Macaca mulatta: one gene and its partners. The main gene of each other region encodes a partner of the protein of the gene in region 4 in a complex. Links are inferred from orthologs where the notes say so. Each region holds a gene or a part of one and is shown on either strand. Other genes may lie near its edges.

Region 1 (4,028 bases), on a different chromosome or scaffold from region 4:
GCTCCTGGATACACAGTCACAGGACCCAGAAGGATCCCACCCAGTGGCTAGGCCAAGGCTGCAGTCCACTCCTTCATCCACAACCCGTTCTCCCCAGGGGTCTCACTTCATCCGCAGGACTGGAGAGTAGGCACAGAGAACTCACAGCAGGGTGGCCCGCACTGGTCTCCTGTGCTCAGCAACCATGGCCAGGAGTAACTGCCATCTCCAGGCTGAGAAGCCTCAGTTGGAGGAGATAGCACCCACTTAGGGTTCACAGCCCCTTCCTGTGTCAGTTCCAGGAACCTTGGATCACAGACATGGCCTCATCCAGACAAGGACACGACCGTGGAGCCTTCAGATGTCAGCGTCCCAAGAGCTGGGAGAAAGGCTGCAGGCCACAGGTGGCCACGCCTGGGATTCAACAGTTGCTCTGCTCAGACCTGGCTCCTCCAGACACGCTGCGGCCCCAGCTCTGCTTGTGTCTCTAGCATCTGGGGAAGGGGGGAGGGGCTGGGCCTTGGTTTCCCCGAAAGAGTCCCTTCCACACATGGGACCAGCCAACATGAGCTCATCAGGTCACAGGCAGCCGCAGCCTCCTGCCACACAGAAAGGATTCCTGGCCCACGATTATAATTTCAAAGGAGTACTTTGCAGGTAAGTCCTCTGGAGCCCAAGATGCCAGGCAGGGAAGACAATGGCTGCCCTTGGCACCCACAGACACCAGCTCCCACTGTCTCACGTCCTTGCCCTCGACAAGAAGTAGGAGAGGATGAAGAAGGCCACAATCAGACCCACAGCCATGCCACATAGAAGCTTCCGGTTGTCTCGTCCGGACCTTGCCATTGCGGAAAAGCGCTTCACACTCCCTGTAAGCAGGCCGGTCATGCTTGTGAAATCCGAGTCCTAAGGGAAGAATCCCGGCAAGATCACACAGAAGTGGTGATTTGACCACCCACCCGCACCAGTGCTGAAGGAGACACTGCAAGCTCTGTAGCAGGTAGTGCTGGGGGCAGGGCACTGATTCGCGCACACCGTGGGCCCTTACCATGCCATCCAGGTACCGGTTCTGATCCTCTGCATCCCTATCGATGTCCAGGGCGAGCTGTTCAGCACACAGAGAGGGCAGGGTTGGGCCAGAGCAGACACATAATACAGCACTCACCCTTCCCAGACCAGACAAACCCTGCCAACAACTCTGCCAGACACAGTGGGGCAGCAGCAGGAAGGTCCAGGTGTCAGCTGGGGCCTCATGCAGGTGAGCACAGCCACGAATCGAACGAGGAGGACGGCAAACTGCCTGAAACTCCTCTGGGCCCTCTACCTTCCCTCTGATCCCCATTCCCCAAGGGCACCAGGTGGAGGTAAGAGGACAGACCACCACTGACCGATTTGAGCCTGGTGACTTTGGAGGCCAGGCTGTCGGCCATTCGCTTGTTCTCCCGGTCTAGAATCTCTTCCACAGCGCCCGGGCTCTGAGCTGAGAAAAGAGAGGGGCTGAGTGATTGCATCCATCGGGGAGCGAGGCCTCTGACCCCTCTCACTCCAACCACAACTGGGTGAGTCAGAAATCTAGGGGACCTAACCTAGGTTCCAGCAGGTGAATCTTGCACATGTGAGAGAGACTGCATAAAGGACGATGTGTGCAAGGGCCTGTCATGTGAACACGTGTCCTGTGTACACATCCAGGTGGGGATGGGCCAGCACCCACAGTGGGTTCAGTCCAACCAGCACCTTCTGAGACTGTGTAGCAAAAACTGGGCCCAGCTCTGGGATGTTAATAAGATGTGACACTTGCATCCAGGGAGGTCGCCATCTGTGTATGTGGAGCCCATTCTTATAGAAAAAGAGTAAACTCTGCTAAGAGCATAGGAAAGACTTGGGAAAAGTACCCAGCAGGGCAGCAGAAAGGCTCCTGCAGGGACGACCTTTGAGCTGGGTCCTGAAGAGGTGGCAAGGAACCAGGACAGAACATTGGGAAGGCCCTTTACCGCACAGAAAACAGCTGAGCAAAGTTCCCAATTCCGCGAGATGGGAGCTGAGGTCGACCAGGAGCGTGATCCCTGGTCTGCATCCCACACAGGGCTTCCTGCAACACCCAGAGCACAGCGCTTGCAGAGGCCCGGCCTGTGACAGGCTGGGCCAGGTGATAAGGAATTTCTGTCACCTCAGGTGGGTGAGAACCACCTTCTCCCTAGCTTCAACGTTAAGGAAGGGATGCCAGCGTCCTTCCAACCACTTCCTGTTCATTAATTCCTTTACTCATCATAACTCAGACAGGCATCAATATCCCACTTTGCAGAGAAGAACACGGGCTCCAGGAGGGGAAATGGGGCCACCGAGGCCCAAGTTAGTTAGCAGAGGCCTGCCTGGACACCAGCGGAGCACAGCCTACTCCGAAGGCCTGGCCTCGGGACCTGTCGAATGCCGAGACTCCCGCTCACCCTGAACCCATGCAAAACGATCTCACAGGGAGCGGCGGGGAGTGGGGGGACCCCGCAGCTGCGCGACCCCTCGCTGGAGCTGCTGGGCCGCCCCGCCCGCCGTCCTTCCTAGCGGCAGTGCTGGCCGAAACCCGGCCCTGCTGGGACCCGGAAGGATCCGAATCCGCCCCCCTGACAGGGTCCTCCCCGCCGAGGCCAGAGGCAGGCGCACGCGGCTCTACAGGCAGCGGCGTCGGTTCCGGCCCGGCCCTGCCCCCAACGGCTCCGCTCTCCCGCGCTCACCCCGAGCCCAGTCCGCCATCGTGCCCTGCCCCGGCTCCTCGACGCCAACACCGACGCGGCCACAGCCGCCTCAGACGTGGCGCAGTCACGGGGAACGGGCTTCCGGCCCCGCCCCCCGCCAGCGATGGCCCCGCCTCCGCGCCAACCACGCCCCTAGATGGCCCAGCCGCTTCCGCGTCGGGCTCGCTGATTTCCGGCTTAGGCCCGAGGGTGGGGAACCGCGGGGTCGCGGAAGCGATGGGCGTCGCTGTGACTTATTTTCAGCACTGTCGCCCAGGCAGTGGCGCGATCTCAGCTCACTGCAGCCCCCGCCTGCCGGGCTCCCAAGGTGCTGGGATTACAGCAGCACCGCGGATGTGACGTTTGTTTGTTGTTCCTGTGAACGTGGGGCGGGGCGGGGCCGTTTGCTTGCTCAGTGCCAAGACGATGGTGGTGGAAAGACGCTGCCATGCGTTAGGTCCTAACGGTTAGGAAGGATTCACAGGCGGGTCATGAGGGAGGAGTAGGCCCCTCGGGCAGAAGCCCGCGAGGAGCCCTGGGTGTGGAGGGGGCAAGGGTGCCTCCTCTGTCAAGTGGAGATCGGCGCCTCGCTAGTGCCTGCGAGTGCGCGCCGCGTCGAATACAGGTGTGCGGAAAGCGCTACAGGAAAGTGAAGCAGGGAAAGAGACTGGGAGGCGGCACGGGGAGTGGGGGCCGTAGACGCCTTTGCTCCCGGGCACTTGTTACAAGAGCCAGTGGACCGCGCTTCCTGTGCGTCACTGAATCCTCCTGATGGCCACTGAAACGGACACGCAGGATCTTTGCTTGTCAAGAGGGAACTGAGTCCAGGCCAGACTGCGTTGCTCCCCTTTCTCTCGGCCCCTCACGGCCCTTCCACCTTTGCAAGTGCTGCTCCTTCTGCCTGGAGTGGCTCCTCCAGTCTTTTCCCAGCTCGCTTCCCATCGTCCAGTGTTAGCAAAAACACCACTTCCTCACAGCCCTTGCAGCCCAGCAGTCACCTTTTGCTTCTTTTGAAGCACAGCCCTGTGACCGCCTCATGTCCTTTTGTTTTTCCTTGTCTGCCTTCCCCTCTGGAACATAAGCTCCACAAAGGCAGGGGCCTGGGAGTCCCGTTCGCCTGCATTCCCCAGCAAACGCCTAACGAACCCAATGGCCCGGGACTGAAAAGTCCTTTCCACTTCGGCTTTCCCGTCTACATCCCATCGGTTCTGTGGAGCTCGAGGGGCGTCACTGTGTGTGTGGCAGGGCGCGGTGGGGGCTGAGATCCTTTCCTGTTGGAAATTCCGGCCCAAGAAGCCCCGGTCACAAGGAGGGGGATCAGTC
Region 2 (3,977 bases), on a different chromosome or scaffold from region 4:
GCTGGCAGGCGCCTGTAGTCCCAGCTACTCGGGAGGCTGAGGCAGGAGAATGGTGTAAACTCGGGCGGCGGAGCTTGCAGTGAGCTGAGATCCGGCCACTGCACTCCAGCTTGGGCGACAGAGCGAGACTCCGTCTCAAAAAAAAAAAAAAAAATTAATTAATTAAATAAATAAATAATTAGAAAGCACTCCCAATTTTTTTTTTTTAAGAGGAGCTGAGTGCAGTGGCTGACACCTGTAATCCCAGCACTTTGAGAAGATGAAGAAGGTGGATCACTTGAGCACAGAAGTTCGAGACCAGTCTGGGCAACATGGTAAAACCCCGTCTCTACTAACAAAACAAAAATTAGGCAGACATGGTAGCACATGCCTACAATCTCAGCTACTGAGAAGCTGGAGGCAGGAGGGCTGCTTGAGCCCAGGAGGGCAGATGTTGCAGTGAGCCGAGATAGAACCACTGCACTCCAGCTTTGGTGACAGAGTGAGACCCTGTTTCCAAAAAAGGAGAGAGAGGCTGGGCGCAGTGGCTTATGCCTGTAATCCCAGCACTTTGGGAGGCTGAGGAAGGCAGATCACCTGAGGTCAAGAGTTCAAGATCGGCCCCACCAACATGGTGAAACCCCATCTCTACTAAAAAAAAAATACAAAAATTAGCCGGGCACGGTGACGGGCACCTGTAATCCCAGCTACTCCAGAAGCTGAGGCAGGAGAATCGCTTGAACCCGGGAAGAGACGGTTGCAGTGAGCTGAGATTGCACCACTGCACTCCAGTCTAGGCGACAAGAGTGAAATTCCTTCTTAAAATAAAAAAAAAAAAAAAGAGAAAGAGACTGGGCCTCGCTCAGCCTTCTAAGTAGGTGGGACTACAGGCACATGCTACCACGTCCAGCTTTTTTTTTCTTTTCTTGTAGAGACAGGGTCTTTCTTCATTGCCCCTGCTGGTCTCTAACTCCTGGCCTCAAGCGATCCTGTGGCCTAGGCCTCCCAAAGTGCTGGAATTACAGGTACGAGCCACCACATCCAACCCTAAGTTATTTTGATACAAATTACTGGTCTAGGGCCAGGTGTTTGTGTCCAGACCAACCTGGGCAACATAGTGAGACACTGCCTGTACGAAAAAAATTTTAAAATTAGCTGGGTGGTGCATCCATGTAGTCCCAGCTGCTCAGGTGGCTGTGGAAAGAGGATCCCTTGAGTCTAAGAGTTCAAGACTGCAGTGAGCTATCATCACGCCACTACACTCCAGCCTGTTGACAGAGTTGAAAACAGATCTCAAAACAAAACAAAAACAACAAATTACTGATCTAGAAAATGTCCTTAATGTTACAGAGATAAAAACTAAGATGTAACTAGATTAATTTTCTCATGGTTACAGAGCAAATTTATGGTAGAAATATATTGGAAAATTCAAGGTGCGTGTTTCTCAGCTAAAGGCTCTTCCTAGAACTTGTTCCTTATTCACACCAATTATATTACAGCCAAGTACTCTCTGAAGTACTCCCTCCAGAATAGCACTCCTGCCCTCCAAGGGATTCCTCCTAAAAAAAGGTCTAAGTCCTTGCCTCTAGTTAGCCAGCCGACCTCTTCTCTGTTGCTTACAGCAGACCCTACTGGCCCCATCCAAGCCTATCAGTTCCATCAGGTACCCCCAAGAATTACTTCAGTTAACAGTGGTGGAGCACAGTCCTTCCTAGATTTGAGTATGGCTCACTCCTCGCCTTTTCCACTCCAGGTCCTTACCTGACGGGTCTGCAGCGACTTGCAGGCAGACAGAAACTCCTGGGTCCGATCCCGGCAGGACATGGTGTCGGGAGGGGGAGGGACGAGGGCCACTGGGGGGGGCAGAGGGGCGATGTCGCTGCTGCTACTGCCAGCAGGTGCAGGGGACAGGACCTGTGTCTTTGAGAGACCCAGGTAGACACCCTGATCCGTGTTCTTAGACCCGTAGCGTTTCCGCGGGATCATTGAGACGCATAACCTCGGACTGTTGTGGAGGGGAGAGTGTCATTCCCCAGGCAGCTTCTTTCCCCAAACTCCCCCGCCCCACCCCAATCAACAAATCCTCGAGCCCCTTCCGCACTTCTCATGGACTTTCGCGCCCAAGACGCTCGCAGATCCTGGGGCGGGCCAGCAGCGGAAAGGGCTCTGCTTTTCCCCTGTCCCAAGTCGAACCCGCTTCAGACTCTTCTTCCAACTTGGCTCCGGCGGCCAGAGCGCGGGCCGGGGGCCCTGAAGCAGAGACAGGGCCAGAGCCAAGTCCCGTGGCCCTCAGACTGCGGCCTGGCCCGTGTAACTGCCCCGGGCCCTAACCCAGTCCCTTCGTTTCCGTGGTTTCCTTCGGCCCCTCGGGGGGGGGCCGGTGACGGACCTCCAAAGACTGACACACTTCGGTGGGCGGAGGGGGAAACCTCTGGGTGTTTATTTGAAACAGGAAGTCCCACCCCCCGCCCAAGGTCCGCCTTCTGGAAGACTTCAACCACTCATTAGCTAATGCCGACGTCTCTCTCAACAGAGGCTTTCCTGATTGGACGGCAAGGAATTCGCTCACCAGGAGCCGGGCCGGCAGGACTTGCCTGCTTGCCCCTGGTTCCCTTCCCCCTGCCAGTCGTCGCCCCTGTAAAACCACTGCCCCAGAGCTGACACGGTGGCCAGACCCCCTCTTAGAGCAAGTCTTACCTCCCCTCTGCTGCCTGTCGCCGCCGCCACTACCAATCTCCCCGGCCGTCACTGCCTCCTCCCTGGGCACTGAGGCCGCCGAAACCCGACCAGACTGGAAGCGGCCACGTCACCTACACGTAACCCCACCCCCGGTGACGAGGGGGCGGTCCCACGCATTTTCAAGCCAGGCGACCCGAAAGACACGCCCCACATCCAAACGCAAGAGCGACCCCCCTCCCATTGGCTAAGGCGCTGCCGTGACCCCGCCCCTGAGTACTACAGCGGGAGCCCAGGGGGCTGGGCCCGCCTCCGGGGAGGAGCCTTAAAGAACCAGCTGCCCGGCGGTGTCCGCGCCCGTTTCCCAGAGTGGTGGTGCAGGTACACGTTAGAAATTTTATTCTCTGGAGGTTGGGGCGGACTAAGAGCAGGTCTGGGGTCATCCCTTCTCCGGCTCCTCCTGGTTGCCTTCTCGGATCGGACGCTCCTGTTTCCGAGTCTGATCTGATTGCCTCTTGCTTGACGGCAAGGAGTCCCGACCACTGAACATTGATGACCTAATCTGGTCTGATTGTCTCTTGCTTGACCGCGAGGAGCCCCGACGACTGAACATGGATAGTCGCCGCCACAGCACGGTGATCAGAAGGCTTTCGTTCGACTTATGATTCCGATGGTCCGGGGAGTTCAAGTCGATACCTTCGGCGCCTGAGGCGACGAGGCCTCTGAGCTCACCCCTACCCTCGGGAAGCCCCTTCTCACACTCCCTGGGCCCTCTGTGTGTGCCTCTGGTCCCATCTTCCCTGACGGCCTCAGACTCTGCCTCCTTGGACTGCTCATCCGACATCTCAAAGTCCTTGTCTTGGCAGCAGCCCATGGCCCCGCGGGGCCCCGGACTCCCTGCCACCCACGCCAGCCTACCTGCCTCCAGGCCCGGCTTTTGTGACATCAGATATCCCGTCGCCCCAGCTCAGGGAGCCCCCACCCCAAGCTACCCCTCATTCCTTTCTCCCATCACAAAAGGCTCAGGGTCATGGTGGATGTTCAGCTGTTTATTTACAAAGTGGGCAGGCACAGGGGCGTCAGGGGCGTCAGGGGCTGGTGGACCCAGGCCGCTTCTTCTTTCTCCGTCTGGTTTGGAGAGCTCCTTGGGTCTGCTCCAAATCCGAGAGCTTCCGCTTGGCAGCTGCCTCCAAGGATGCCCAAAGTTCGTCTGTCTCTGTGTCTTCTAGGGGCACCTTGTTGGGTTCTTGAGGCTCTTGGGGCTCATCCTGGTGAGTGGGAAGAAAGTGTAGGAGTCAGGGGGACTGGGCATGGTAGCTCCC
Region 3 (4,126 bases), on a different chromosome or scaffold from region 4:
AAAAAAACAAAACCCAGGAGTGTGATGGATTGAGGTAGTGAACAAATGAATAGGGTAGAAAGAAGGTAGAGAAGAGAAAGTATTTGAAGTGGCCTCAGGGTTTCAAAAATTCCAAGGATAATGGTGTTCCTGCCATCCACTTGTTGACACAGCTGGCAGTGTTCTGCACGCAAAAGTTTCTCGTTTTTACCTGGACAGCAGGTTAGTACAGAGTCACCCTCACTGTCTTAAGTGTTTACTGCTCCCATCAGCTGGTGTTTGAAGAACCCAGACGGCTCTCAAGCAGAGGATACACCCAGGACTGAGCCCCCTTCATTGACAGATACTCAGCATCTCAGTTCTGAGAATACCCACCTGTATTCTGTGACGCAACTGTTGAAATTTCTCTTTTACTTTAGTGTTCAGTTCAGTAAGAGCACTTAAGGGTCCTGAACAATCACGGATATCCTAGGAGACATTGAACAGATGAAAGGCCTTTCTTAAGGCAATGAAATGAAATGACACCATCCATACAGTGAGAGAGTTGGTTTAGACCAACTAATATTAATGTACTGATACTGACTATAATTCATCCTGATCTTTGCTGTTTACCTCTGCAACACAAGCAAAAACATTATCATTGGCATTTTTCTCATTCCTCTTTAGATTAATGTTGAATTAATATAAAAGCCTAGAAAGAAACACAACTGCTTTGACCTAATTTTTAGTGCCTAAATTTTAACAAAACATTACCTGGCCAGTATGAAAAAGCTTAAAACAGCTTATATGCCCAACAAGAATGGACATGCGAAAGTAATACTATAACTTTAGAACCTTAGATCCTTTCAACTTGTAAGATGAGGATGTTTAAAGATCTGGCCTCATATGATGAGATTAACTTTTTCAGTGTGATTTTACAAACCGTCAGTGATATTTAGAGTGTTTATATAAACATGTTTAAGGGCAGATTTAGAATCTGTTGCTGGACATTCAGAATTACTGGTGCCAGTTTTCAGAGCAGGCTCTGGAGACAGACCATGTGGATTCGAATCCTGGCTGTAGCAACTTATTAGCTGTGTAAAGTTACCTGGAAAGTTATTTAAATTCTCTGTGTCTCAGTTTCCTCATCACAACCCTACTTACCTCAGAGAACATCATAGATTATGTGTGTATGTAAAGCACTTAGCAGAGCTGCTGGAACACAGTAAGGGTGCACTACATCCAGCTATAATCAATCTTTCTCATCAGCAATCACAAGAACCCAAATGTTAGAAAGAGTACAGAAGGGTGCCTAAGCAATTTAGATTATGTGAAAATGTGATTTCATTTGTATGAAACCTAAGTTTATTTTTCTATAACTGGCCCAGAAGTTTTGTAATGTATACATCAGAGAAGTGAAGTTCGAGAAGTTTTAAATATCTGCATCAAATTTCACTTTTTCTCTGGTTATTAATTTAATCACACTTCTTTGCACCATATTTGTTTATTCTGCATCTAATTTGGTTTATTCTGCATCTGGTTTATCTGGGGAGCCCTACTTTCCTGCACTTTTTGCCACCCCTCGTTACAAACTCTGAGTCTACATCTAATGTTTAGTGACTTTGTTGAAAATGATTTGCTTTAAAAACCAAGGTTTAGGCCGGGCGCAGTGGTTCACACCTGTAATCCCAGCACTTTGGGAGGCCGAGGCGGGCAAATCACGAAGTCAGGAGATCAAGACCATCCTGGCTAACACGGCGAAACCCCGTCTCTACTAAACAAAATACAAAAATGAGCTGGGCGTGGTGGCGGGCCCCTGTAGTCCCAGCTACTCGGGAGGCTGAGGCAGGAGAATGCCATGAAGCCGGGAGGCAGAGCTTGCAGTGAGTAGATCGCGCCACTGCGCTCCAGCCTGAGCGACAGAGCGAGACTCCGTCTCAAAAACAAACAAAAACAAAAAACAAAACAAAACAAAACAAAAAAACAAGGTTTAAAACTCTTGGTTTCTTTTTGCTAAACTCATGGAACCGTGTCTACATTCCTAATTCTTGTCTACGTCAACTCGTTTATTTTACCTCTACCCTTAAATGGCTTAAGGCGAAAACACCTCATTTCCTCTCTGTTCAAACGGGGTAACACTCTAAGGTGTTATTCCTAGGTTGACTTTCCCAGTCCAGGTCCCAGTTTTGCCATTGACCCAGGCCTGCCTTCTAACCTAGGCCTTGGCGCCGTATTCGATTTCCTCAAGCATAAAATCACAACTACGGTCCAGGTTACATTCGTTTCACCTGGTGCCTCCCGAGCCAGGTGCCCTTGGATGCCAGGGGAGCTGGCCAGCAGGGGGCGGGGCTAGCTGCCTACCGGGCGCTACCAGAGAATGGGGAAGCAGCGTCAGAGGGCGGGGCCAAGCAGGGTGGCAGGTAGGTTGTGAGGAGGTCAGGGGCGGAGCGACGACCAGGACTGCAAGTGGAAGTGGCAAAGCCGAGCCTCGAAGCAGTAGCTGGGTCAGGGGCGGAGAACAGTTGGGTGCTCTGGAGATGGGCGATCCGGCGGCACCCGGAAAAAGGATCAAGGCCAGCAGTCACGGGGACACAACCAAATGGGGACCAGGGCGGGTAGCCGGTCATGGGGCGGAGCCGGTGGCCTGGGAAACCAAGTGGGGAAAGTTCGGGAGTGACACTACCGAGCTCACAGACCAGCAGAGCTTGGGTTAGGGCTGCTGGAGCCTGGCAGGGGTCCCGGGATCAGTACCTGAATAAGCGCCTTCACCTCCAGGTCAAATTTGACAATCTCTTGGTTACAGATCCGGACGTGGACATCTTGGGGAGCCGCCATGTTGGGGACGCCGGTTACGGGCGGCGGCAGGGCCCAAGTTCAAACGCGTTTTCGCACCGCCTTCTCGCCCTCCCCGCCCAGTCTCGGGGCAGCGCCCCCTAGAGACCGGCGAAAATGGCAAGCTTGGGTCCCTGCCGCAGAGTTGGGACTTTCCCTGACACGTGTAGGGAAATCAGCCTCTCCTCTTGGTATGGCCTTAATACCATGGAGAGGAAGAGAAGAGGGAATATCAATAATGCTTCACAGTGGTCTCTTTCCATCTTCCTTCTGTCAGGCATTCTAATAACTATGTATTTTTTGCATAGAAAAAAAAGACTGGAAGAAAAGTATCAATTGAGATGTCTCTGGAAAGTACAAGTGACAATTTTTTGTTTCTTCAAACTTTCTTATATTTTTAATATTTTCTACAGTGAGTATAAATTGTGGAGTAAAAGAGAAAATGATAAATGTTATGTATTTTTTAAAGTATGGAGTTCAGTAGAGTCAGTAGAGTACTTCCTATCACTCCAACACATGATCTGAGGGATCTTTGTAAAACACGAAATTGATCAAGTCGCCTCCCTGTATGCAGCCCTTCTATGGCTTCTGGTGGTTCCCTTTTGTATACAACTGGATTTATTAAATCTACCTTGCTGGGGTAGTTTTGATGGATTTACGTAGTTTTGATGGATTTACGTAGTTTTGATGGAAATGTCAGAGGAAACCCTCAACAAATGGTGGCTCTTTTATTTTTGTTAGTAAATAATCCAAGTTTCTTAGCTGGTCCTCAAGGTCATCAGCCACCCCACCCTGCGCCCTTCCTGGATTGCTCAAGCTCTTTCTGGATGTGTAGCCTTAGAATGTGGTGTTCCCTCTCCCTGGAAAGCTTTTCCCCGACTCGACCCCACTCCATCTGCTTTTGTTCAGGTCACTTCAGCAAGAATAGATTGTGAGGACCTAAATGCTTAGGACCTGAATGTTCATCTCTCTTAATCCTCACAACCACCCTTGAAATTGCACTACACTAGTATCACACTTCAGGAGATGAGCTGAAAGTAGATTAAAATAACCACCAATCAACCCTGTCGCAAGATTACCTATCTTGAAAGTGGCACAGCCTCTACTGAAAGCCATCTTTTCCCCAAAAAATCAATATGGCTCCCACCTGTTGTAAGCAGGGCTCTGTGCTTGTCTGTGTTCCTACAGGCCTCTACACACCCTCTCGTAAGGTATTCATCACCCCACTGCACCTAATAGAGAGGCAGTGTATCCCAGGCTTGGCATCTGCCTGGGCTCAAATCCTGTCCACAGCACTGCATGCCTGTGCTTCAGTCTCCTCAGAGGCTAACTGGTG
Region 4 (3,511 bases):
CCATCTGTTCCCATTCCCCAGTGGCCTTGGTAAGCTGACCTCTCAGCTCATTCCGTGGCTTTTATTTCTTTGAAACAGGGTCTCGCTCCGTCACTCAGGCTGGAGTGCAGTGCTGCAATCGCAGCTCACTACAGCCTTGACCTCCCAGGCTCAAGCAATACCCCCACCTGTCCCCAAGTAAGGTGGGATCACAGGTGCATGCCACCGTACCCTGCTACTTTTTCTGATTTTTAGTAGAGATGATATCTCACTATGTTGCCCAGGCTGGTTTCAAACTCCTAGGCTCAAGCCATCCTCCCACCTCAGCCTCCCAAAGTGCTAAAATTACAGGTGTGAGCCTGGCCTCCTGGGCTTTTAAATTCAACCAATCTACCTGGTATGTTCAAAAACCAAAACCCACACAATCTGAAAGCAAGTTACATTCTCCATAGCTTTCCTTGAATGTAGTACTTTATTGTGAATTTTCACTGAAGAGGGCAGGCACTACTCTGACTTAATGGAGAATTGTAGCTACTAAGAAAATCTACTCAAATCTTCACACTGAGCTAGTATTTTCCTGTCCAAATCTTGGCCACAGTATGTTTTTCAAATTGATTTGCCTTCTGCTATTAAGAATACAGCATTCAATTGGCAAATTGTACTAATTTAAAAATTCCAGCCGGGCACAGTGGCTCATGCCTGTAATCCTAGCGCTTTGGGAGGCCAAGGTGGAATGATTGCTCGAGCCCAGGAGTTCGAGAGCAACTTTGGCAACATAGTGAAACCCCGTTTTCACAAAAAATTAAAACAATTAGCCAGGCACAGTAGCACATGCCTGCAGTCCCAGCTACACATGAGGATCACTTGAGCCCAGGAGTTTGAAGCTACAGTAAGTTCTAATTGCACTGCTGCACTGCAGCTTGGGTGACAGAGCAAGACCCTGTCTCTAAAAAACTAAAAAATTCATACATAGGTTAACTCATTTATGGAAAGGAAAAAATAAATGAGTTATTTTTCTGAGGCTCTCAGAGTGACAGTAGACTAGAGGTCCCTGATATAGTCATCATTTGGTTTAAATATTTGTTTTCTTTCCACAATGATCCAGTTTACCTTACTGGATAATCCTTAGAGATTTTTTTTCCCTATTACTTTTTTTTTTTTTTTTTTTTTTTTACTTTTACTTAGATAATAGTAAAGGGTTATAGTCCAGGATTGAAGCATAATTTATAAATCTATAAACTGGTACTATTTTACGAAATCTGGAAAATAGCCTTGGCTCTAAATGACAGGGTATAAGTAGATGATGTTTTCATAAGAATAGCAGAATACTCTATTAGATGTGTGAAAAATTAAAATCTCAGATTGGAAGCTTTGAATCCTTAAGTGCCTTTTGACGTATTATTTCTCTTGCCAAAGAGAATACAGCCACTTTATCCTTATTAATTCCTGTAATCTTATAAGTGTAGAAATCAGGTTTCTTCCATCTTTTTTTCCCTTCACTGAAGCAAAAATTTCCAATGATGTCTAATTCTTAGGGGTAAAATTGCTTCTAAGGGAGATCTCTTGGCCAAGCAAACTAAAAATTGAGCAAAGCGGCCAGGCACAGTGGCTCATGCCTGTAATCCTAGCACTTTGGGAGGCCAGAGCGGATGGATCACCTGAGGTTAGGAGTTCGAGATCAGCCTGGCCAACATGGCGAAACCCCGTCTCTACTAAAAATACAAAAATTAGCTACGCGTGGTGGCACATGCCTGCAATCCCAGCTATTCAGGAGGCTGAGGCAAGAGAATCGCTTGAACCCAGGATGTGGCGGTTGCAGTGAGTGGAGATCACGCCACTGCACTCCAGTCTGGGTGACACAGTGAGACGCTATCTCAAAATAAATAAGTAATAAAAAAATTAATAAAAATTGAGAAAAGCATATGAACTTAAAAAAGACTATTCCCTGAATACAGAACTGCTGTAGCTTTTGGTCTTAGTATGGTTTCCAGGTGCAGTGGCCCCCTAATTTTCCCATACTTGCCCCTTTCCCTGTCTGCCCAGACTTACTCTACTCTTGGTGCGTTCTAACTGGTCTCGTTGTTCCCCCAGCTCTTCTATGATTTCTGAGCCAATTTGGTCGGTCTCCGTGGCAATCCGATGAGAGCGTTCAATACTTTGGGTGGCCCGGTTCAGGCTTTCAGTGCCTTGCAGAAGCATTGCCCTTTGAGACTGTAGCCGATTCTGAAAGGAGTATGGAAGAGAAATGTTAGACTTTTTCCATTATAAATTCATTGCCAGCATATTCCTCATGACCTTCCCCATGTTAGAAAGCATACAGTGAGCAATAATTTTCATTCCTTTTAAGACAGAACCAAAGAAGCTAATGATTCTTTTCAAGGTCACAGACTAAAGCAGAACCTGAAATGAATCAATAGGATCACAATACCCCCACTCCACTGTCTTTTACACTTACGTGAGGCAAGGAAAGATGGATTAAAAATACTGGAGCACTTTCCCTGTGTTTGTGATGAATCTGAACTGGTTCATGTGTCTCCTGGACTATCAACTTCTGAAAGGTGGCAGCCCAGATGTGGGAGCTACCTGATTAATGCATATAGCCTGTAACTTCGATAGTGCTATGAGCAAACCAACTAAACTCCGCAGCCCTAGAAAAAGGTTAATTCACTGAAGATTCCCACTTGACTGGTACTGAGAACTGAAGGACCATGAACAAGCTATTCTGTTCTTTGTTTTAAGCCTCCAGCACCTGGTATTTCCAGGTGGTCTCCCATCCAAGTACTAACCAGGCCTGACTCGCTTAGCTTCTGAGATCAGGCAGGTTCGGGGTGGTATTGCCTAGATGACTACAATTCTTCTTTTCAGCATCTAAAGAAATTTTGTAGAAGTCTGAGACACTACCACATTCTGGAAAAAACGTATGTGGTTACCCTCTTGGTGAGCCCCACAAAGAACTTCACCTAAGGTCAAACAAAAAGCCTTGAGGCTGCCACACTGGGGGTGATTTGGTCTCAGGGAAATTAGTATCTGGGGCTTGAGCAAGCTTCCCCATCTGCCCTAATTTCTCAACTGCCCTAATTTTCTAAATCCCCACCGAAGTTTTACCCCACCTGTAATCCTAAACACAGACAGCATGAAGACAAAAGTAGCCTTGTCAGGCCAGAATTAACAACCACTGACAGAAATGGAGGCAGCTCCAAGTTCTTAGCTGTTCAAAGCGCGCGTGCACACACACACACGCACGCGCATACACAGACTCAAAAGGAACCCAGCTCACAGAGGCCTATTACAGAGCAGGTGACCACTGGCAGGACCAAGAAGCCAAAAGATTGGCTCCCAGAGCAGAAGTAGCAAGAAGCATTTTCTTTTTTCCCTTTTTTTTTTTTTTTTTTTTTGAGACGGAGTCTCGCTCTGTCGCCCGGGCTAGAGTACAGTGGCACGATCTCAGCTCACTGCAGCCTCTGCCTCCTCGGTACAAGCAATTCTCCTGCCTCAGCCTCCCGAGTAGCTGGGATTACAGGCAGCTGCCAAC

Evidence for each region.
Region 1: VTI1B (region 4) and BET1L share a complex: the UniProt entries of both Homo sapiens proteins name them as parts of the SNARE complex. The link is inferred for Macaca mulatta from reciprocal best matches to the Homo sapiens genes VTI1B and BET1L.
Region 2: VTI1B (region 4) and STX5 share a complex: the UniProt entries of both Homo sapiens proteins name them as parts of the SNARE complex. The link is inferred for Macaca mulatta from reciprocal best matches to the Homo sapiens genes VTI1B and STX5.
Region 3: VTI1B (region 4) and BNIP1 share a complex: the UniProt entries of both Homo sapiens proteins name them as parts of the SNARE complex. The link is inferred for Macaca mulatta from reciprocal best matches to the Homo sapiens genes VTI1B and BNIP1.

The regions. Positions count from the first base shown.
Region 1 is NC_133419.1:81,251-85,278, forward strand, and holds BET1L (BET1-like protein), read right to left. Parts: upstream 2,810-4,028; 5' UTR 2,725-2,809; coding exon 2,706-2,724; intron 1,460-2,705; coding exon 1,368-1,459; intron 1,085-1,367; coding exon 1,028-1,084; intron 886-1,027; coding exon 718-885; 3' UTR 93-717; downstream 1-92. UniProt on the Homo sapiens protein: Vesicle SNARE required for targeting and fusion of retrograde transport vesicles with the Golgi complex. Required for the integrity of the Golgi complex.
Region 2 is NC_133419.1:11,223,194-11,227,170, reverse strand, and holds the start of STX5 (syntaxin-5), read right to left. Parts: upstream 2,810-3,977; 5' UTR 2,677-2,809; intron 2,230-2,676; exon of another isoform or gene 2,081-2,229; intron 1,985-2,080; 5' UTR 1,966-1,984; coding exon 1,741-1,965; intron 1,248-1,740; exon of another isoform or gene 1,148-1,247; coding exon of another isoform or gene 1,085-1,147; intron 1-1,084. Other genes in the region: TEX54 (testis-expressed protein 54), read right to left, coding at 3,095-3,601; WDR74 (WD repeat-containing protein 74), read right to left, coding at 3,744-3,923. UniProt on the Homo sapiens protein: Mediates endoplasmic reticulum to Golgi transport.
Region 3 is NC_133411.1:182,025,785-182,029,910, reverse strand, and holds the start of BNIP1 (vesicle transport protein SEC20), read right to left. Parts: upstream 2,810-4,126; 5' UTR 2,794-2,809; coding exon 2,710-2,793; intron 448-2,709; coding exon 355-447; intron 1-354. UniProt on the Homo sapiens protein: As part of a SNARE complex may be involved in endoplasmic reticulum membranes fusion and be required for the maintenance of endoplasmic reticulum organization. Also plays a role in apoptosis.
Region 4 is NC_133412.1:140,831,184-140,834,694, forward strand, and holds part of VTI1B (vesicle transport through interaction with t-SNAREs homolog 1B), read right to left. Parts: intron 2,203-3,511; coding exon 2,029-2,202; intron 1-2,028. UniProt on the Homo sapiens protein: V-SNARE that mediates vesicle transport pathways through interactions with t-SNAREs on the target membrane. These interactions are proposed to mediate aspects of the specificity of vesicle trafficking and to promote fusion of the lipid bilayers.